Linked DNA regions of Drosophila melanogaster. The protein of the gene in region 1 purifies or fractionates together with the protein of each later gene. This does not show direct contact. Each region holds a gene or a part of one and is shown in the gene's direction. Other genes may lie near its edges. The genes, in order: roq, Not1, Patr-1 and PAN3.

Region 1 (4,804 bases):
GCAAGGTCTTCTTTTGTATAAATCACTTAGTTTTTACATTTGATGATTAAATGAAATAACGTAAAAGTGGTACTTTTTGATAATTTAAAAACTATCCTCACACTTTAGTCCTTGTCTGTGTGGCGGAATGGTATGCGGGCAGCAAGCTGAGGGTGTACATCGATCCCCAGGACGAGCAGAAGTTCTTCGGCAAGGAGCATGGACTGCTCCTGATGAACCACACGTACGAGATCGACTGGCTGACCGCCTGGATGATCACCGACAAGCTGGGCAATCTGGGAGGCACCAAGGCGTATGCCAAGAAGATGCTGCGCTATGTTCCGGTCCTGGGATGGGTCTGGTGGATGGCCGAGTTCATCTTCCTTGACCGCAACTTCGAGAAGGACAAGGTGGTGATCAAGACGCAGCTGAAGGAGGTCTTCTCCTATCCGGATCCCGTGTGGCTACTGCTGAACGCGGAGGGCACCCGTTTCACACCCGCCAAACACGAGCTGTCAGTCAAGTTCGCCGAGGAGCGAGGTCTTCCCCTCCTCAAGCACCATCTGATTCCGCGCACTAAGGGATTCACGACCAGTCTGCCCACCATGCGTGGCATCTGTCCTGCCATCTACGACATCAATCTGGCCTTCAAGAAGAATGCCGAGGTGAGAACTTAAGATCTCATATATATGTATATATATTTTAAATTACATTTTCGAACTTGAATTAACTTACAGCCAAAGCCCACCATGCTGTCCCAGTTGAACGGAGAGCCCGTGGAACCGTACATGTACATTCGCCGAGTGCCACTGGACGTGGTTCCCGATGACGAGAAGGAGGCCGCCGCCTGGATGCAGGACTTCTTTGCGGAAAAGGACAAGATCATCGACAGCTTCCACGAGACCGGCAGCTTCTTTAAGAATTCCGGAGTCAAGGAGGTGCCCGAGAAAATCTACAAGCCGCGCCTGAGCACGCTCCTCAACTTCTTGGGCTGGGCCACCTTTGCCGTCCTGTGCATTCTGCACTACTTGGTCACCTCGCTGGTTGCCGGCAACTGGTTTGGCTTCATCACGGTTCTTTCCATTTTGGGAGGATGTAAGTTGAGAAATTCTAGTTTCGAGGATATGTGCTTAACTTTACAACTTGTACTTCCAGTCTATAGCCTCATGGAATACGCTGTGAATGCTTCGAAGATCAGCAAAGCCTCTGCGTATGGAGCAGCTGCTGCCAAGAAATAGATTTTCATACCTGAGTTTTATAAACTCTGCAACAGTTTTGGAATATACGACCTATGGACTAATAACTCAACTGCACTGACCATAGAAATATTATGTACATTGAATATGTACGATAAACCATTGTAGTTAACTGAATAAAATAACATTTTATGCGAAATTCACTTACAGGAACTAAATGATTCTTAGAGGCAAATATTTAATATGTGTTTGTACATCCAATCGAAAAAATTTCTCACAAATTCACTTACAAGAACTAAAAGTTTCTTTGAGGCAAATATTTAATGTGTTTGTACATTAAATCGAAAAGATTTCTCAGTCTTCTACCACTTATATAAACGTCGTAGTTACAAAGTTTAAACTTCTTGTACTTTTGTTTTTCTAATTAGAACATGTGTTGTATATTTTAGCCATTTATACAATAAATGCTATAAAATTAGGTTATCGAATTTCAAATATAGATAGTGATGTCCAAAACGATAACTGCTTATCGCAATCAGCTGAGAGCGCCTAGTGCGACCCTTCGTGTAAGCAGTGCAGCAAGACATTCAACGTTTTCAGCCAGCTGGATTCAGTATTCCGCCGCTCGTCACCTGCGGTCATACTGATTGCAACTTCCCAAATTTCTTACAATAATCCAATGAAAATTAAAAAACATATTTTCGTACCTTTAATGCAATAATATGTGCATTTTGAAGGTGAGTCAGTGCAGCACCAGTGCCAAAAATTGCATTAAACCAAGTTTGTGCGAAATCCACGAAGCAGAGTGAAAAGTGAAACGTAACGAAAAAAACGTTGAGAGAGATTTTCGTGTAGTTCATTGTTTTTCCTGGGGGATTACTTGGTTTCAAGGACCTTTCACTGGCCTGTGGCCCTACTTTTCGAAGGTGCCATTCCTTGGGTTGGCACAACCTATAGGATACTGCCCGAAATTCCCTTTGTTCGCGTCTCGAAAGAAAGCGGATGCTTGATGACGTTGAAAGCGAGTTACGTTTGTGTCCCCCATAAAGGCAGTTATGCGTGTGTGTGTGAGTGGCTCTCTCTCTCTGGGGTCTCAAAAGGAATATTAGCGATCCTTTGAGCACTTGAAGATCCGAAAAAGTTCTCCAGGAAGTGCAACTGGGGTATAAAAATATATAGTTGCTATATATACATACAGATATACTTGCATGCGTGTACAAATGCCCTCGCACACAAACAGCAGCAGACGAGTGTGCGTGTGTGTCTGTGTGGGGGGAGCACGCGAGTGTGTGCGTGTGGCGACAGCTGACGTTGGGGGTAAGGCAAGAAGAAGAAAAAGACGAAAGCGAAACTTTTTACTGTGCCACTTTTGATCGTTGTAAAAGGAAAATAAGACTATCTTGAGTCACGTCACTTTCATCGTTACATCAATTCGATAATAACGAGCATATTTTATGGGATATTAGATCTTTACACGATTTACCCTTTTATAGATCGATAATTTAAGTATTTATAGGTGGGCTCTATACAGATCTTATTGTGATAGATTCCATTAAGACTTATAGATGTAGGCTGCCACAAGTCTGTTTCAAATATTATACTTCATTCTCAGAAAAAACTAATGTTTTCCATAAAGTTAAATCTGATAAGGATATACATAAATTGAATTACCCATAGAGCATATGTGTGAACATTTGTAGCATGATTTCTTTACCCAAGATAAGAAACATTACTCATTCATGCTATGAAATTTTAAAGGCAGTATTACTTCCGCCATTCCTACAATATATATGAATAGAATATGTTTAACAAGCCTGATTCGGGTAATTTGTTCCGATTTCAATATCACCAAGATTCCATTAAAATAAGATTTTCCTTACCTTTTGGCTTATTTTATTTTAATTGGTATTTTTATGTAATTTACGCACAGCATGCCGATTCAGGCTCCCTCATGGACAGATTTTCTGAACTGTCCCATCTGCTGCAATGAATTCGCGGCCAGCCAGCGATGTCCGGTCAGTCTGGGCTGCGGGCACACCATCTGCAAGCTATGCCTGACGACCCTCTACAACCGGCAGTGTCCCTTCGATCAGGTGAGTTGAACTCCATTTAAGTATTGCGCCAACCCTAAACGATCTGCCCTAATCTCTTTTCTCAGACCGTGATTGTCAGTGACATCGACAATTTGCCCATCAACCATGCCTTGCTCCAGTTGGTCAAGGACTCGGAGCTCCTCGAGCTGGCACCACCACCGCCCAGTGTGCAGAAGCTGGAGCCGGAGCACCTTAAGTGTTACCAACTGGGTCAGCGGTGCATCGAGGAGCTGGCTTTGCACTTGAAGTCCTTCCTCAACCTGAACGGAAATGGCAATCTTCTAACTCGACCCATGTTACGGAAACTGGTTACTCTGGTCAACTGCCAGCTGATGGAGGAGGAGGGACGGGTGAGAGCGCTTCGAGCAGCCAGATCCCTAGGCGAACGCACAGTCACCGAGCTGATCCTGCAGCACCAAAATCCCCAGCAGTTGAGCTCAAATCTGTGGGCTGCAGTGCGGACAAGAGGATGCCAGTTCCTTGGACCCGCCATGCAGGAGGAGGTGCTCAAACTGGTGCTGCTGGCCTTGGAGGAGGGATCAGCGCTTTCGCGCAAAGTGCTGGTCATGTTCGTCGTGCAGCGACTAGAGCCGAAGTTTCCCCAGGCCTCCAAGACGAGTATCGGACATGTGGTACAGCTGCTCTACCGCGCCAGCTGCTTCAAGGTGTCCAAGCGGGAGGCGGACTCGTCGTTGATGCAGCTCAAAGAGGAATTCCGTACGTATGACGCCCTACGCCGGGAGCACGATGCCCAAATCGTTCAGATAGCCACCGAGGCGGGTCTGCGAATTGCACCGGAACAATGGTCTTCCCTATTGTATGGCGACGTGATGCATAAAAGCCACATGCAGAGCATCATCGATAAGCTGCAGACGCCAAGCTCCTTTGCGCAATCAGTCCAGGAATTGGTCATCGCCTTGCAGCGGACCAGCGATCCTGCGAAGCTATCCAGTTTGCATCATCATCTGAAGTACCTGGCCAATATTGATCCCTGTGCGGAGGTTGCCCCGTGGTCGGTTTTGGCTGAGGCCTTGGATGCAGTGCGGCATTCGGTCGTTGGACTGGTGAACTTCCTTCAGCACCACGGAGTGCGCAAGGCGCAGGACGGCATCAGTGGCGGTGGCAGTGGTGGGACGACCAATAGCAATCCGAAGTACAAGATCAGCTTATGCAGGGACTTGAATGTGCGGCGGGTGTGTCCCCGAGGTTCTAGCTGTACCTTTGCCCATTCCCAGGAGGAGGTAGAACGCTATCGTGCACGGAATCGAGGAAAACATATGAAGACACCGTTGGCGCTGCAGGGACCTCCAGCGGTAGGCGTAGGAGCCATAAAGAAACCACTAGGCGAGCAGGAGGGACCGCCTCTAGGTAACATGCCACCCATGTTACCTATGTCGCCTATGCATTATATGGGCTCTCCTAGGGGATATCTGGATCCCAGCTTGGGACTTTCGCCAGGTGGTGGTCTCCCGCCGTCGCATCACAGTCCCATTACCAGGCTCATAGTGCCGAGCCGCTACGATTCGCGCTTTAGCG
Region 2 (4,839 bases), on another chromosome or scaffold:
AAAAAAGAACAAAAAAAAACCAAGGAAGGCAGAGACAAAAACAAATTGCGCCGTAGGTGAAATGAAAAGCGCCAAGAAGCAACAGCGAATACGTCAAATATCTCTAATCTCCAATACCAGTGCACGCTAAACGTGTGTGCTGAACAAAAAATTCTGGTGGCCTCCAACAAAAACAACAGCAACAAGAAACATCCGCTGAGGAATTGACAACTGATACGTAGAATTATGAACGTAGAGAGCCAACTGAAGACACCGCCAACGCACATTCGAAATCTGGTCAAGCACGTGAACAAGCGAAATTTTAATGAGAGCAGCGAGCAAATAAATCAGGTAGGTGCCCAAGTTATTCTACCAAAGTTTCCATGAACCATTTCCAATTCATTTTGTCAACAATAACAACAACATTTTGTAGGGGGCGGGGGTTTAGTGTTGCCAAACCGACAACATATCGCACCTGGCCAACCAGAGTTGCCAATTGTTCGCACTCACGAATGGGCTATTGCCATTTCACTCGCTCGTGCATTTTTGCCGACGCCATTACAGTTTTTTGGTAAAGGCAGCTGAAAAAATTTCTCTGCACGGCGTTGCGCGTTTTGTGAGCGTTTTGTTTAAGCTAAAAGTTTTATAGAATGTGTAAAACCAGGCCAATTGTGTGCGCTTAGCCACAAACGTGTTTCGTGAGTTGATGGCAGTGTGAATTTTGCAGCGTAGTAGTGCGAAATCGAATTGCGAAATTCGAATTGGGAAGCCCAAGCCAAGCGCAGGGCTTTTCGGCCCCGAAACTTCTGTTTTTTCATTGCCAAACGAGAGAAACCAAATTGAATAGTAAGTTCGTGGGACAAATTGCGTGGGAATATCAATTGCGGCCGCTTTCTTTTCGCTAGAGTTGCAATATGTCGCACTTTTTCCTGTGACCCCCTTCCTTTCGCGCACCGTCATGCTCTCTTCTCTCCTTACCCATGTAACGTTTCGCCAACGTGTGCGAGCGAGAGGGCGCGTGTGTAATTTGTTGTGGAGCAGCTGCGACGGCGGGGCCAAAGCTGTTGTCTCGCTCCCCCGTTCGGAGTGAGGCCTTGATTCCGGACTCCGAGCTCCGGATCAAATATTTCAACAGTTTTGGATCCGTAGGGAGGGAGGGGGATATCTAGCCTCCTAGAAAAGTTTTGCCATTCAAATTAGTATCATAACAAATACTTGGCTTAGAATGGCACCATTTGCCCAACAATCCCCTAAAAAGTAATCGTTTGTGGGACAAACTATGCTACAGATCCCGTTTTCTTGACAGTAAATGGCATATTCCTCAAAAATTAAAAAAAATGATAAAAAAAAATGATAACAAAACAGAGTCATATACTTCAGTATTTTGAAATTCTCAACAATCTATATCTGCCATTTAAAAAGCCTGATAAGTTTTCAAGTTATTCGAACTCAGTAGGATTACCAAATTTTCACTGATATTCAATGTTGGAATGAAGTACTAGGATAACCCAACGGAATTTATAGTAAGAAAGGTCTAGGAATTTGTTGGATTCCATGGAGAAATTATCGGATAGAAAATACATTAACTAACTTAACGATAGCCCAATTTGAGATATAGTCTTCCATTTAGTTATAGCATTCAAGATAATCTCAGAAACCTGTGAGCCCAACAATGGTGCACCTAAACTGGAATTCCCAATGATAAAATTCATGTTTTAACCCTCTGGTTGCGCTTTTAAAAAGCCAATTGGGTAAAGTTTTTAAGCGGGCAAGAAATAATGACTTAATGGATTTACTTTTGAAAACAGTTGCCTGGAGTTAGAAATAATCCCTCCAAAATGTTACTTTACATCTTGCCCTGTATCCGTAAACACATATCCAATTGTACAGAGAAAAGTTGAGACACTCACAGAACATAATAGAACCTGTCAAAATTTCCAAGTTTGCGATGAAAATCACATAAAAAAAAATCCCGGTCACCGCAGAATCTGAGGAATCGTTTGAAACATACACTGTCCCTTATACAGTGATATGTGTCCCAGATTGCGGGCAGTCGCTGTCAAGGCACTTATATTGGCTTCCAAACCCTACGCAATGCAGCTCTTTGATTCTAAACCATACATTACTGATAGCATTTACGACATCTTGCAGTTCGTTAAAGAGCACGGCCTGGAAGCGGATCGCAGCAGCCTGCGCCACCTGTTCTCCGTGATCAACTTCAGCGATCTCGTGCCATCAGTTACGGTCCAGCTGCAGGCGAAGCTCCTGGGCATCCAGTTGGAGCGTCAGCTTCACAGTTCATCGTTTGTGTCCAACATCTGCTACGCTTTTGACCAGTTCTTCGCCAGCAACCAGAAGGTAAGTTGAGTTTACAATGCCCACAATGTGTTGATTACTTATGGATACTCATTCCTAAGCAGTCCCTGAAGCCTGTTGCGGTAGCGGATCTCGTTGGCCAGGTCGCCCGACTGACCGGCATCAACAAGGTTTGTGAGTGCGTCTTTGCCTTGGCCTTGACCCACTCCTCGTACACAGAACTCAAACATTCTGCCAGGAACAACCTAAAAGGTAGCCTCAGCGAACTTATAGACTCTTACTTGGGTAATAAAGGCACCGGCCCAGCCGACAGCGGTCTCCGGGAGATCTCCTTCGATCTACTGCAGTATTTGTTGTGCTGCCTTAGCGAGTACGTACAACCGCAGGTGGAAGCACAGTTTTTGATCAAGCTTCGTGAGGAGTTTCCGCGCCAGGCGGTACCGCTGGTTCTAGCGCCGTTCCTTTACGGCTCGACGACGGCGACGATTGCGGGAGCAGGTGCCAGCGAAACGGATGCGGAGGCCGAAGCGACGACTAATAGCAACAGCTCCAGTTTCGAAGCAGATGCTTTGAACGAGGTGGGAATCGAGGATATTTATGACCATTTAAGCGAGATAATATTCACCAACCAGGTGCGTAAGACACTCATTGAAAAAGACAATTCGCTAATTGAATGTTGTGTTGCAGGGCAAAAATAATATTATGGACACATCTTGGATTAATCTAATCCTTGAAATCGGTTATGAATTTACATCGAGCGTTGAAGAGTGTAAGAATCATTTGTGTTCCCGCGAGCGAGAACGCGCTGAGCTCCAGTCCAAAGATGTCGCCAAGATCGTGGGTCTTATGTGCCGACGGCACTCCTCCCTGCTCGATTGTAATGTGAATCTACCGACGCCGGCGAACTTCTGGCCTGGTCAGGGACAGGGCGGTGGCAGCAACAGCAGTGGCTCTTCGCAGACACAAATCACTCCGCAGCAACAGAACCCGGGCAGCAGTAACAACAACGATGGCAGCGATGGCAATTCGTCCAGTGATAAGAAGGACAAGAAGGAGACGACGGAGGCCACGCAAACTTGGAAGCCAGATGTCTTTGTGCAGGCGCTCAAGGAGGTGGTGCCTCAGCTCAACTGGAAGGACGTGTGCATGGGTAATAGCTAGATAATTGCTTCGCAATCGCCAATCTATAGGAATATCATTCTTAATTTTTAGAACTTGATCATCCCGAGTTCGTGCTGAAGGATCGCATCGGTTTGGAGCTTTTGCTCACCATCCTTCGGCTGGCCACTGGCTCTAACATATTTCCACATCCAGAATGCATTTACCGTCACTGGGCAAACACGGAAGGTCAGCTGTCGCTTATCGCGACAATGCTGAAGAACCCGGATCTCTTTTCCTTCGCCGACTTTGTATTTAGCCAGCCAGCGTTGGATGTGCTTAAGACGGCTCCGGATGCGGACAATAAGGAGATCTCGTCCTGGAAGTCGCTTCACCTGGTGGAGGTGCTGCTCTCCATTGCGGACAAGGGATACTATACGCAGGTCCATGAGCTATTCAAGTTCCCAGCGCAGAACTGTCCCGATGTGCTATTTTTGGCCTTATTGAACACAAGTCCGCCTATGACGCCACTGCGTCAGGATCTGTTTAACCAACTGATACCAACGTTCCTTGGCAACCATCCCAACTCGAACGTGATCTTGGCCAGCGCCTGGAGCTCGAACAACTTCCAACTTCGTTCCAATATCATGAATGCTATGTCCGAGTGGTATCTCCGAGGCAATGAGTTCGATCAGGTGAAACTGTCGCGCATCCTGGATCTTGCCCAGGATTTAAAAGCGCTATCAGCGCTGCTCAACGCCCGTTCATTTTTATTCATTATCGACCTGGCTTGCCTTGCCTCTCGGCGCGAGTACCTGAAGCTGGAAAAGTGGCTTACCGATAAAATTCGCGAACATGGAGAGCCTTTTATGCAGGCTATAATCAAGGTTCTGCACCGCCGCTGCCCGCAGGTTATCAACGCAAAAGTGCCAGAGGATCAGCTGCCTCCCAAGCAGGCGCAGCTTTTGCCCGAGACAGTTACCACCATGATCAACTGTCTGCAAACGTGCATCAATAACTGCATGCAGCCGGAGATGGTCGAAGTCATCATGCAAATGACCGCGAACGTGGCGATTATGGCTAACAAGGCGCGTGCCCAACAGCAGCAGCAGCCAGGATTGGTTCCGCCGCCTCCACCAACAATTCTGCGCGGCCATCGTGGTATGGATCTGCCTGGAGGCATAGTCCCTCCGCCACCGCAGCAACCGTTCTCCGGAAACCTCAACGCGCAGATGTTTGGACCAGGAATGGATCCGCTAACGAATATGTCCAACAACTTAGCCGGCCTCAACCTCAGCGGCCCGAACGGAGCATTTAATTTTGGAAACATGCTAAGTAAGTGGCATTCATAGGCAATGAGTGCATAATCTATCACAGATGCCTCTTAATCCTATCTAACGAAATTCTACGTGCAATTTCAGCTTCTCCATCGCGTCTGATGACTCC
Region 3 (7,335 bases), on another chromosome or scaffold:
ACAGAAAACAGGGTCGGAAGTAAACCGTCGTCTAGTTCCTTTTATAGCCTGTGGAGACTTAAATGGGTTGAGTGATCCCGAAGAGGGCAAGACTTCCTCCTCAGATGAATCCAAATCAGTAAGTGATGTGCCTAATACTTTGCTTTGTTTTTTTATTCAACCATCTTTCCCACAGAATTTAGAGTATGTTTACGATGCTGTTATGGACGACGCATCTTATCCCCTGGAATTTAAAGAGATTCTAAAGCAAGTCTATGATGAACAACGCCATATTATCTAAATATTTATAAAATAAAACCAAAAAAATTAAATTAAATTTGTATATTAAGTGGGCTTGGGCCAAGCTAAAAGAAATGTGATAAAATTAATCAAAATATTGAATAACTTAGATTATTTAAAGATTAGGTTATTAAGACTACCAAGATATTACTTAATTTTGTGCATATCCCGTTATTTGAGCGACAGCTTTTTTTGCTCGATTTCCAATAGTTTCTTTTTCAGTTCTATTTTCTCAGCCATTAACTGTTCAATTGCCAAGTGATGTCGCTTGTCCTCGTACAGCTTCTGCTTGTACAGGACAAAAAATTCATTGAGTGCAAGTTGAACGCTGTTGGCGGTATCGTGCACCATTTCTAGGTTATTGCTAATCTTGTCAAGCAGTGTGGTCTCCTCCTCCGCCAGTCGACTGCTGGCCAATGCGGCCCGTTTGTTAGATTGCAGGTAAAGCGGGTCAATGTCCGTTTTGTTCTCCTCCGGTTCGTAAACGTACTCGGCGGAAGTCTGAAGGGCGCCACCATCTTCTTCCGGGACCACATCCTCTACTTCGTCCACATCAAATTCCGTGGTGGAATTCTCATGCATTTCATCGTCGGAGACCTTCATAATAATCTGACTTACATCCTCGTTTAATCTACACAGTGTGGCTATTGTTTCCTCCGACGAAGTAAGACTGGTGCCAAAAGGCATGTTCTGCATCTCATTCTTTTCCACCTTTCTCAGGATAAACCTCTTCCAGTCCTTTAAGGCCTACAAACAAATCAACTTATAATGCAAGCGGTTAGAAAAAAAGTAAGTTAGAATACCCTTCTCCAGGTGGCTATATCTTTTCGCGGCGGACCGTGGCTATTAAGTTCGGATGACAGTTCCTCCCACAGCGACTCCAGATTGCCCCGTGTTTCCCACGTCGGATTCTGAAGCAGACGCGGATGTTTCTTCACGAATTCTAACAATATCAGCTCTTGCGTTGAGTTGCGCGGCTTGGCTTTGTTCCGGTCGATGGCGATGGTGGTCTGCGGCTGGAATTTGTACTTGGAGTTCCGGTTGAGTCCCGATGTGGGGTGCATCCTGTTCATGTGCTTGCTTAGATTCGTGGTGGTCGTCTTGTAAGAGAGCTTCGCCTTGCAGATATTACACACCGCAAACGTGTCGTCCACCGCCCGGAAAAAGCACCAGATCTCGCTCGTTTTCCGCTTCATTTCGACTAAGTTGTTTTGGAAAAGGAAACAGGCTCGTAGTTCCGTCCAAAGCAATAGTTCAAGAACTAGTAATTTAGGGATGAGCTTGCGGGCGCTGATTTCAAGTTTCGAACTAGTTCAAAATATCGAATACATTGAAGGAGTGCAAATGCACCTTAATTAGGGCAGATTTTTCATTGATCAGTAAAATCTAATGTTGTTGACTTATTAACCAGTCGTGGTAAGTCCCAAACTGAATAAATAAATATGCAACATACGAAATTTGGCAGTGGTTAAATCATCATTTTTTTCTAACATCACTGTAGCAAAATGCAAACTTATAAATTTAGACAAATCTTCAGTCGTTCACCTATTGAAAAAAAACGTATGAAAAAAATATATATTTTAAATTTGCATGTTAATTCCAACATTTGTAATATGATAATATTTATATGCGAGCGAAATTGATGTATTGTGGCGATAGTCAGAAAACCATCGACGTCAGACTATCGATAGTACCATCGATATTTTGACAGCTATACTGCTGAGGTGACAACTTGTCACTGACAAGTCATGATAATTTTTTGTAAAGCAATAGATTTATCGCCATGGATGACTCGTTTTTCGGCTTTGACACGAATCTACCGGTAAGCAGCGGTCCCGACATTGCGGCTGCAATATCCGGGATAGCGGGCCGCACAGGGGTCGGCAAATGCCCAACGCACACTTTTCACTCGGCAAATAAGGGGGCATCGAAGGCCACCGGGGGCAGAAAAAGTAGGAATGTCTAATTTACTTGCTTCAATTGTTTCTCCAGGACGAAGATGGTGGCGATGGACGCATCGTCGAGGCGGAATACGATGCCCTCAATGACGAAACCTTTGGATCCGCTATAAATGGCGACTGGGAGGAAGCCCATGAGACGATGGTACGCCTGGGCGGGAATGGCGAAAGGGTGCGGAAGCGACCCGCGGAATCTAGTGGAAATACGGATTTTGCCGATCAGGGAAATGGTGCCTTCCTGCGACACGCTAATCCGCTATCATCGGCGCCCTCTTCAAGCGGCTCCACTCCGGCCCCTTTGAATGCCCCCTTCCGACAGTCTCGTCACATAGGGGACTCGGACTTGGAGCTAAACATTTCCTCCATGAAGTTGGACGACATGGACCTGTCCTCTTTCACCACTGATAGCGAAGCCGGTGGGCTGAGCAACCGCATTAAGCTGGACTCCGGGGTCTGGGGATCACAGCCGTTTCCCAACAACCAACATTTGTTCCGCGAGCCTATGCGCAGCGCCTTCAAGCCACAGCAGCAGCAACATCAGCAGCACCAACCACAACAAATGAAGCCACCGCAGGAAGCGAATGCCAACTTTGCACTGAATCCACAGCCTTTTCCAAAAATTACAACTCTCGAGGATATAGAGCGCAATATGATCATTCAGCAGGCCATTCCGAAACAACAGCAGCAGAGCCAGCAACAGGCGGAACGCAAAATGTTTGATGATTTTAGTCTGGGTAACAGGCAGCAGGTGCCTACACCAACCATGTTGCAGCAACAGATGTTGCAGCAGCAGCATCATCAGAAACAACAGTCGCAGCAGCAGCCGCCACAACAAGCGCAGCACAAGGGTAATTATATATTAAAACTAAAAAGTATTGATGCATACAAAAACAGGCCTCAGTATTTAAAAAGAAAACATGTCCAACAAAAAGTATAATTCCTAAAAATATTTATTTCTTACGAATCTATTTTTGGGGACAATTTTTAAGACAGATTTAACCATTTAAGGAACAAACTTCAAGTCCCTGATAGATTTCTGCGACATATGAAAATAACACCATTTAACAATTCATTGCAGTACCCCCTGGCTTCTTGGGCACGCCGCACACCTCTCCACCGAGGCCAAATTTGGGTTTCCCCGGACCCGAGCTACTGCCCACGCCATCGTCGCAGCAACAACTAAACGGTATTGGTGGCAACCGAGTGCCGCCCGGATTTATTTACCCGCAAGGTCTGCCCGGGAATATTCCGCAATTGCCCCAGCATCCTCTAATGCAGCAGCACATGCCGCACAACTTTCCACTGCCCGGCGGCAACCAGCGACCTCTACCCAATCCACAAGCTCTGCCCACGGCCCTGAACAATTTCGCGATGCATCCAAGCTTCAATGCGATGCGCGCCGCTGGAATCCATCCAGGGGCTTTTATGCAACCTCCCCATCCGCACCAGATGCTGCCACCGCGAATGCCGCCGCACCCGCTGCAAGCTGCCACAAGTCTATTAGGTCAGCAGCCACCGAATTCCATGTATAACATGTTCAACATGCGACTAGTGCAAGAGATCCAGCAAAACCATCCGCTGCTTCAACAGGCTGCTGTTGTACGCCAAATGCAACAGAGCAGAGCAGGATCCGTGGCCAGCGATCGTCAGAGATCGCAGGCGCAACAGCAGCAACAAGGACGACGTCCAGATGGTACAGGAAATTACCCGCTGGAAGAGTACGATGAATATGCCAACCTAATGAGCACGCGCGACAAGCACTGGCTAATCGGAATCCAGCTTTCGCAGCTGAATACGGACACGCCGTATATCGACGACTATTACTACACGGTGTTCAGGGAGCGCAAGGCCCAACAGAACGGGCAAATGCGCAACAGTCAGGCGCACAAGGACAACCAGTTGAATCATCCGCTTACTCAGCCACGCGGCCATGCGCAGCTTATTCTCGTACAGTTGGGCAACAAGAATGGTACTCGCAATGGACACGGACGTGAGCGACGCAACTCGGAGAACACCAACAGCACGTCAGGCAACACGAACAATGGATCAGGTGGTAACAACAACAACCTGACAGGCTATATATTCTCACCACTGAAGTTCGAGAACTCACTGGGAAAGCTACAGTACGGAAGTGTGACAGCTCCGCGAAAAATTATCGATGCTGACATTATGAGTGGTGAATCAAATGCCGCTGCTGAAGCCAACGCAACTTCTTCATCAAAAAGCTCGACTCCGCTGCCCACCTCCGCGAGCCATGATGTAAATCCCAGTAGCATGCGGAAGTCGCGACACATTTTGCTTCTGATTGAAACACTGTATCGCTATCTGCTGAAGTTGGAGGATTTGGAAAGCCCAGAAGTGATGGCCACCATTGAGCTGAAAAAGAAAAAGGAAGCCGAACGGATCGCAGCCCTTGAGCAGCTGGAAATGGCCAATAAAACGCCCGAAGAACGTGCTGCTGAAGCCGCCAATCCGCAAACCATGAATCCGCAACTAAAGAACAAGTTCAACTATGAGGTAGAGACGAAAGCTGCGTTGGTCAATAAATTAAAGGCAGGTCTGGCCTTCGACAAGGTTATCGCCATGATGAATGTGCGCAAGGGAAAGGTGTGTACTTTTTCTTATACTAATTTTAACAAGTGCAACCAAATAGAATTCGATTTATGTTCTAGTGCTATACGCATGAAACTCACTATTTTATTTAAATCAATCTTTCCTTTGCAGATACTTATTAGACGCATAATGCCCTTTATTGCGGATCAAAGCATTCGCTGGGTCGTGTGGAGCGGCGTCTTCTGTTCCCTACAAACAGTGGTGAAAAAGGACAAGGACGACGTTGAAGGCGTCTTGTACGCTCTTTACCCAGAGTTTAAAAAACACGTTAACAAAGCTACTTTCGAACTCCTAGTGAGCATTTCATCTGCTATTACGCTGAATGACAAGAAACTTGCTGGAATTTTTTGCAGTCGCGTAAGTTATCCTCAGTATTAAGTAATAGATACGCGTACTAATTATTAAATTGGCAGTTTGGAATCCTTTCGCTGGTTGCCCTGATACTTCGCGCCGAGGAAATCTACGTCTCGCGAACTGACGCAACTCTTAGCGAGGAGAACAGGCAAAAGTGGCGAGAATTTCTGGCACAGGTTGCATCCTGCCTCAATCGCACTATTCAAAACCAGACCATCTCGGCAGCCATTGAGTCGGATGCAATTCAGCCACTTATGGACCACTTTGAACGGTTTAAAGATCTTAAACTGGATGCACTCTTAGCATTAATAACTGAAGCCAGGCATCAAATTGATTAGGTTGCTTTGACGGATTTTCATTTAACTTGATTGAAGCGTTTCAAATAATTGTGAAATTATATAGCCGAGTTCACTTTGCTTTACTCAATTACGCATATGTTTGTATAGAATATGTATCCAAAACTTACATATGTACGATCGTTTTTACATTTACGCATACTACACAAAAATATTGATACAGGGTATAAAAATCTCATACTGAAATTGAGAAAGTACTCGACTGTCAATAAATTTTGATAATAGTTTGTTAGAAACGTTCTTTTATCCAAAATTGTGTGCACTGTACAAGAAAGGTAGAGAGAGGAAATCATGTTTTATAAATATAATATCGAATGGTAGGTTTTGCTCATTGTACATACTTATATCATTTTATATTCGATAAGGAGTACTTTTCCGGCATTTTCTGTAGAGATTTATAAAGAATAATTCACCCCACAAATTATTCTTTTTTTTTTTTTGTCATCGAATTAACAACTGGGCTCTCCTATATCTTGTAATCACGATTGTAAAAGGAATATCATAAATACGTTTTAAAATTTAAAAGCACCGATTTAATGCGCGATCCATGCATACTCATTTAAATGTGCATCCTTAAGTATCTGCTTATTTTCTGGTATTTGTAAATATCGGTTTAATGAAATTTTACTATACTACCTTTTGGGTTTCATTGAATCAAATTTGTGCAAGACCCATTAAATATAGTCGAGACATTCAGCATAAATGTGTACTAAATAATTAGCATTGTGACAGGTGCAGCCGTATTTATTATAACAAAATGATCAAAATTGTGATACATTTTGACTTTTAAACATAAACGAAGTTCCGATGATCGGAAAGAATTAGTTTAACACACAAATACAAATTTGAAATTAGAAAACAGCAATTTTCACAAAACTTCTGTAACGCAACGGATAGATATTTGTTGTAAAAATCCGTTGTGGAGCATTTTAATTTTATTTCGTTTTTAATTGTATCTACACCATCATTCAATGTTGTTTAATTCATTTTTTTTATTGAAATTCATGTTTTGTATCTGAAAAAAATTCTACTCGACTGCAAACGTCTTGCAAATACTTTAAAACTATGCTTTTTTTTAGCAAACAAGAGTCAAAATACGATAGCTGTCTAAGATTGCAAACACATATACAATAATTGTAGTTTAATTTGTATTTATCACATACAAACACTTCAAACCTTTTCCTATAAATATGTTCGCTGATTCAAAAGTAAATTTTTTTAAATTGATATAATTTCCGAGAGTATAATAAATAAAAAATACCATTTCACAGAACACACCGAAACTAAAACACCTTATTTTTTTGGGGGGGTTTTGAAAAAGATGATATTTAGTTTAGTAAGCAGTCTGATAAAAACACATTAGTTGTCCATTTCAATGATATTTTATTTATGGATTTTTTTAGCTTTCCTTCAAATTTATTGATTTGCTTCCAATTGGTGTTTACGCTTGTGCTATTAAACGGTTTTTCTTCTATAATAATATATTAATCATTTGATTTCTATAAACAATTGTGCCGGGGGGGGGGGGGGGTGCATCATTAATGGCGAACGTGTTTTGTGTCTGTCTGTTTTTGTTTTTGGCGCAGAATCAAGCGTCGAAGTGTCGGCAGTTGCCTGTCCGTAAGGGACATTTTGTTGTGCGGAGGCGCCAAAGTGCGTAACAAGTGGCGGCGGCGCGCTCGGGAATTGTTGCAAATTTCTGAGTCGGCGACGCCAACCACTGGCGACGGTCACCAAGACGACAACTTGTCGGCAGCAGTCCGCCCAGCGCGAAG
Region 4 (4,631 bases), about 13 Mb from region 1:
ACCGGGAAGACGGCAACTGGAACACCGCATCCGGCCGAATGCTGACATTCCGGCCGAATGCTGACATTACACAAAAGTCGCACTGCAACATTGTCCCCAGCTAGCCAGCCACATGCCGAGTCGGCATGTTCATTATGCTTACAATTAAGAACCTATGTACTTATGTATAAGACGAAAACGGAGGACTCGAGTAGCCACTCTCTGACAATAAACTTCATACTGATTTTGAACTTCAAGAAAGTCAGTCGTATTCTTTATTGGAAATCTTCACACTACAACTATCTGCTGAAACTTAAAAACCTTCATACATTTACACATCATATCTTCACAAAAGGCTCCACCCTCGATCACGGACTTAACTCCCGCCCTCGCTCCCCCTCGCACTCTTTCAATGTTTTCAAGGCGAATAATGCAAGAGCGCCCCAGCTAGACGTCTCGCTCTCGCACAGCTGTGTCTTGCTAGGGTGGAGAGAGGGAGAGAGGTGTTTTACTCTTACAGCTGAGCTGCCACGATTTGTTTGTATACAGAATGAGGCGCACACACACACGCGCACTTGCTGTTTTTCTTCTTTCGCTTTTAAAGCTCTTACTTCCTTTTTTTGATTCTAGTTTACAAGGGCTTATAGTTCAAGCCGCTGTAAATAATCCAAAAACTCACCTGGTACATGGCCGTCTTGGGCAAATCCAGGCAGACGGCACAGCACAGGGCATTGGAGATGCGGTGGGCCAGCTTTTCGTGCATTCCCGAGGCGGCTGCGGCACTGGAAAGCAAGCTGCTGCCGCTGCTGCTGGTGGCACCACCGCCCCCTCCGTCCAACAACTGTTTCTTGGCCGGCGGTTCTCCGCTGCCCTGCGTGTCCAGCGGCACGCCCACCACATTGCCGCCGCCCACCGACGAGGAGGACGACGATGTGGAAGAGGAAGAGGCCGAGGAGGCGGAGCTGGTCGTGGCCACCGCCTGGTTGTCGCCCAGGAGCGGTAGGTTCGAGGACGACGGCGGCTGTTGGACCGCCGAACTGGAGGATTCCACCGACATGATTGGAAATTTTCTTGGAATAATGTTTGTTGTGTTTTTCTTTGCCACTCGCTTCGTACACAAACTCCCACACACACGACCACTAAACTACTACACACACACAAGCAATACCCAGTTTGCTCTCTCTCTCTTTCGCTCGCACACTAAGTATGGCACTTTCTTTCAATTGCCACCTTTCCCCGCTGTCCGTGTCGTGTCGTTCTCTTCTGTGTTCTTCCGTTCTGTTCTGTTTGCAAGCTTTTTGTCCGCCGACACGTCCGCTCGCCAAAAAATTTGTTGTCTTTCTAGAGAGTGTTGTGCGGTGTGACCAAATCTTATATTAGGCAAAATACTAGTATAACGTATCGATGTTATTGGCAAAGCCTATCGATGTTTTTCTATTGTCTGTGTTTCTCCAGCCCTGGTTGATCGTTAGCAGGGACACCATCCCCTTTACAAAGTAATAAAATAACAAATATTATTAAATTAACCATTTCAAAATAAAATAGCATTAAAATAATATAGCAAAATCTGCCTTCATATATATAATTTTACAAGTATATTATTGAAAACGAATCCATTCGTGTTTAATGTGCTGCCCTTATATCCGGCAGTACGGAACTCGTCACTCGCGAGATGCGGTCACACTGCTTGCGGCAAACGGAAAACATGTAAGAAATTAAATATTGTGATTTTGTCTTTAAAATGTACAAAAGTTTGACAAAACACAAACGGCAGGTTCTTTATGAAGTCACCTCTCGCAAAGTGAACTATGACTGGTCAGTGGAGGTACGGAAAACGTGGATTAAAGAGCGAAAAATCGCAGTTTTCTCAGCAGACATTTTTGTATCACTTCGCTGTGCGCTGTGTGTTTGGCATTTTTTGTGTTTGTGTGTGTGTGTGCAACAGCGGCATCAATTTGAAAAATAACAAAAACAAATCGTTGGCGTGTTGAACAAAAAACTATACGTATTTGCTATCTGGCTTGCGTTATAAGAACCATTTGGACAAATTGCGTCTTAAAAATTTGGTGACCAAGATGGCTTCAATTTCATTTTCGGTGGTGAATTAAAAACTTTAATGAAAATAAAAACTTAATGAATTGACTTTTAATTCACGTGCAATTATTATGAAAATTTTTGAAAATTAAAATAAAAATATTTCCAAAAACGTTGTAACAAAACTACACTTATAAATTGGCTTTTGGCTTGCTTAGTGAACTTAGTTAATTATTTCCAGCTGTTCCCACTCAAAAAACAAATCGTATACATATGTGTTCTTATTTCCTTTGCTCCTGCTTTTTCTCTTCCCCTTCTTTTCGTTCCCTTCCCCTTTGCGTCCTCTTCCCCTTTTCCTAGCCAGCTGTTTGTCGCGTTCCACAAATATGGCTGGAGTGTGGATCGCGTTTGGAGCCCAGGCTCCCACATTTCTCTATGTGGAACGCAACCTGTGGCCAGCTGTTGGGTCCTGTTGAACTCCCCCCAGCCAAAAACTTACATATGTATATGTATTTATTTTGTGTATATATGCATGTGTGTATAACAACGCCAATTGCTAGGGTTTCTGCAAAACGTCCTGGCCACTTGAAGGTGAAGTGTTACAATACCATAAAGGGGTTTCGCCATTTTTAAAAGTTATTTTATTACATTATATTCAATAATGGAACTTCAGTAGCGTGTCAAAGGATTTCTCTTTGAAAGAATACGTATTTCATATCCAGCATTTATCAGCTGAAAAACATGAGGGACTTTATACAATCTGTTAAATTTCTTTGCATAAAATGATATATATGTTAATTAAAATTATTAACAATAGCTAAAGTCCATGTAACCCCTTGAGCGCGGATGTTTTCCCAACACTCCTCGAATGGAATCCACATCCACTTTGTTGCACACACAGCTGGCAGTTGTTGTTTTTATCCGACCTCCTGTGCACACACACACACAGACGGACGTACATGTATACAACACTCGGGGGTCGTTTGTGGACTCCATTTGGCTTGGCTGTTGGATCTTCTTTGCGTTTTCTTCATTCGTGCAGCGCCAATCGCGCGGTGTGTGTGTTGCGTTTTTCTTATTTGCAAAATCGTTGGAAAATGGTAATGAAAATGTATACAATATAGCAACAGCAGCTCCTTTCAAGGAAATATCCTCATTAAAGTAATTACGGTACTGAAAGCAATTCAAAAGCTAACAATGAAACAGGCAATTAACTACACAATATGTTGGCTTAGGTTCAGTGTGTATGTATTTTGGATGGTGTTAAATATAAAACTCTAAAAATATGAGTAACCAAGTGCGAAATGAAAAAAAGTGTGGAAAACGTAAGCAAATATGCGCGCAATTGTGTCTGTATATGTGTAGGAAAAAGCGTCCTCGTACACCCACACAGACTCACTTTGGAAAATTTAATGAAATCCAAGCTATACCGCCCTCTCACTCCCACTCACTGTTGCGTTTCGGGATTTCATTTTGTCGCCCCGTTTTGCAAAAACAAACAACTGTTTTTCGCTTACCGTTACTTATTTTAATTCAATGTTCTTCTCTTTCTCGCTTTTTACAGTCGACGCGCCTCAATTGTTAATCATTTGCCCGAAAATGCATTTCAACTGCAAGAAACTTACGTGAAAAAGTGAAAGAAAAAAATATTTTCGAAACGTACAATGTGAAAATGTGTTATTTGAAACTTAGCAGTTAAGCGCGGATTGTATGTATTATTTAAATTTTTGTTTCAATATTTTCTACAAAATTATTAAAAAGAACTACAAAAAAATCGAAAACAAAACGAAAAAACCAAGAAAAAGTTTTTAACTCAGTGCACATTAAAACGAAAACAAACGCAAAAACAAAGCGTAACGAAACGAGAAGGACCACGAAAAGAAAGAGAGCGCACGAGGAATTGGCGAAGGCGGGAGCGAAAGAGAAAAATGTCAACGTTCTTGAACAATTTCTTCCCGGCAGGTAAGCAAAAACAAAGCCAGAAAAGCAAAGGAAATCAAACACAAGCAAAGACAGGGAACGTAAGAGCAGAACCACAGCTGGTGGCAGGAGCGTATTGGAGAGGGGTTGGCGGGGTGAAATGACCCCCCCATCAAACAAGTTGTTCATATACATAGTTATTCTATGATTGTAATAATAAAATTGGTATGTTTATGAGCTTAACTCAGTGATTAATCATAGATCAGCTTTCTTATATTGATCGGTTAGTACGTTATTTTATCTGCCCCTTTTTAAATCCTTCGCACGCCTCTGGCTGGGTGGCATTTAATTGAAAGTCACCTTTGGCATATTTCATAAGCGTTCTCACCGGGGTCATCCTGTAATTCAATTCTGCGCCTCTCTTGTTTTTTCTCTCCACTGGCGGCATGTAAATTGAATTTTCCTACCGAAGCGCATATTGTGATTATTGGCAATTACATGGACGTGACCGAGGAACAAAGGAGGCGAAGGAGATAAGTAGGCAGAGAATGCGAGAGTGAGAGAGAGAGGGATAGGGACGGGATGGAGTAGCGGCCTAGAACAGAGAATCTTGGCATAATCAATCTGCCCCAAAACAATCTATACACTTCCCTTTAATTACGTACATTCCTCGCTGCAATACCATCGATTATCGTTTT

The links.
Region 2: the proteins of roq (region 1) and Not1 purify together in Drosophila melanogaster (affinity purification with western blotting, with the first as the bait; one study listed by BioGRID). This does not show direct contact.
Region 3: the proteins of roq (region 1) and Patr-1 purify together in Drosophila melanogaster (affinity purification with western blotting, with the first as the bait; one study listed by BioGRID). This does not show direct contact.
Region 4: the proteins of roq (region 1) and PAN3 purify together in Drosophila melanogaster (affinity purification with western blotting, with the first as the bait; one study listed by BioGRID). This does not show direct contact.

What each region holds. Positions count from the first base shown.
Region 1 is NT_037436.4:16,375,540-16,380,343, reverse strand, and holds the start of roq (roquin), read left to right. Parts: upstream 1-1,777; 5' UTR 1,778-1,912; intron 1,913-3,105; 5' UTR 3,106-3,106; coding exon 3,107-3,268; intron 3,269-3,333; coding exon 3,334-4,804. Other genes in the region: Agpat4 (1-Acylglycerol-3-phosphate O-acyltransferase 4), read left to right, coding at 109-644, 717-1,074, 1,135-1,217.
Region 2 is NT_033778.4:9,573,676-9,578,514, reverse strand, and holds the start of Not1 (Not1), read left to right. Parts: upstream 1-1,819; 5' UTR 1,820-2,010; coding exon 2,011-2,337; intron 2,338-2,396; coding exon 2,397-2,927; intron 2,928-2,982; coding exon 2,983-3,445; intron 3,446-3,507; coding exon 3,508-4,728; intron 4,729-4,814; coding exon 4,815-4,839.
Region 3 is NT_033777.3:17,041,588-17,048,922, forward strand, and holds Patr-1 (protein associated with topo II related - 1), read left to right. Parts: upstream 1-1,976; 5' UTR 1,977-2,062; coding exon 2,063-2,101; intron 2,102-2,271; coding exon 2,272-3,085; intron 3,086-3,315; coding exon 3,316-4,844; intron 4,845-4,961; coding exon 4,962-5,207; intron 5,208-5,263; coding exon 5,264-5,542; 3' UTR 5,543-6,834; downstream 6,835-7,335. Other genes in the region: Trm7-32 (tRNA methyltransferase 7-32), read left to right, coding at 1-118, 176-280; bdwf (bedwarfed), read right to left, coding at 451-1,026, 1,083-1,475.
Region 4 is NT_037436.4:3,069,504-3,074,134, forward strand, and holds the start of PAN3 (Poly(A) specific ribonuclease subunit PAN3), read left to right. Parts: upstream 1-1,629; 5' UTR 1,630-1,804; intron 1,805-3,043; exon of another isoform or gene 3,044-3,257; intron 3,258-3,577; 5' UTR 3,578-3,941; coding exon of another isoform or gene 3,942-3,975; intron 3,976-4,631. Other genes in the region: CG32486 (uncharacterized protein), read right to left, coding at 659-1,036. UniProt on the Drosophila melanogaster protein: Regulatory subunit of the poly(A)-nuclease (PAN) deadenylation complex, one of two cytoplasmic mRNA deadenylases involved in general and miRNA-mediated mRNA turnover.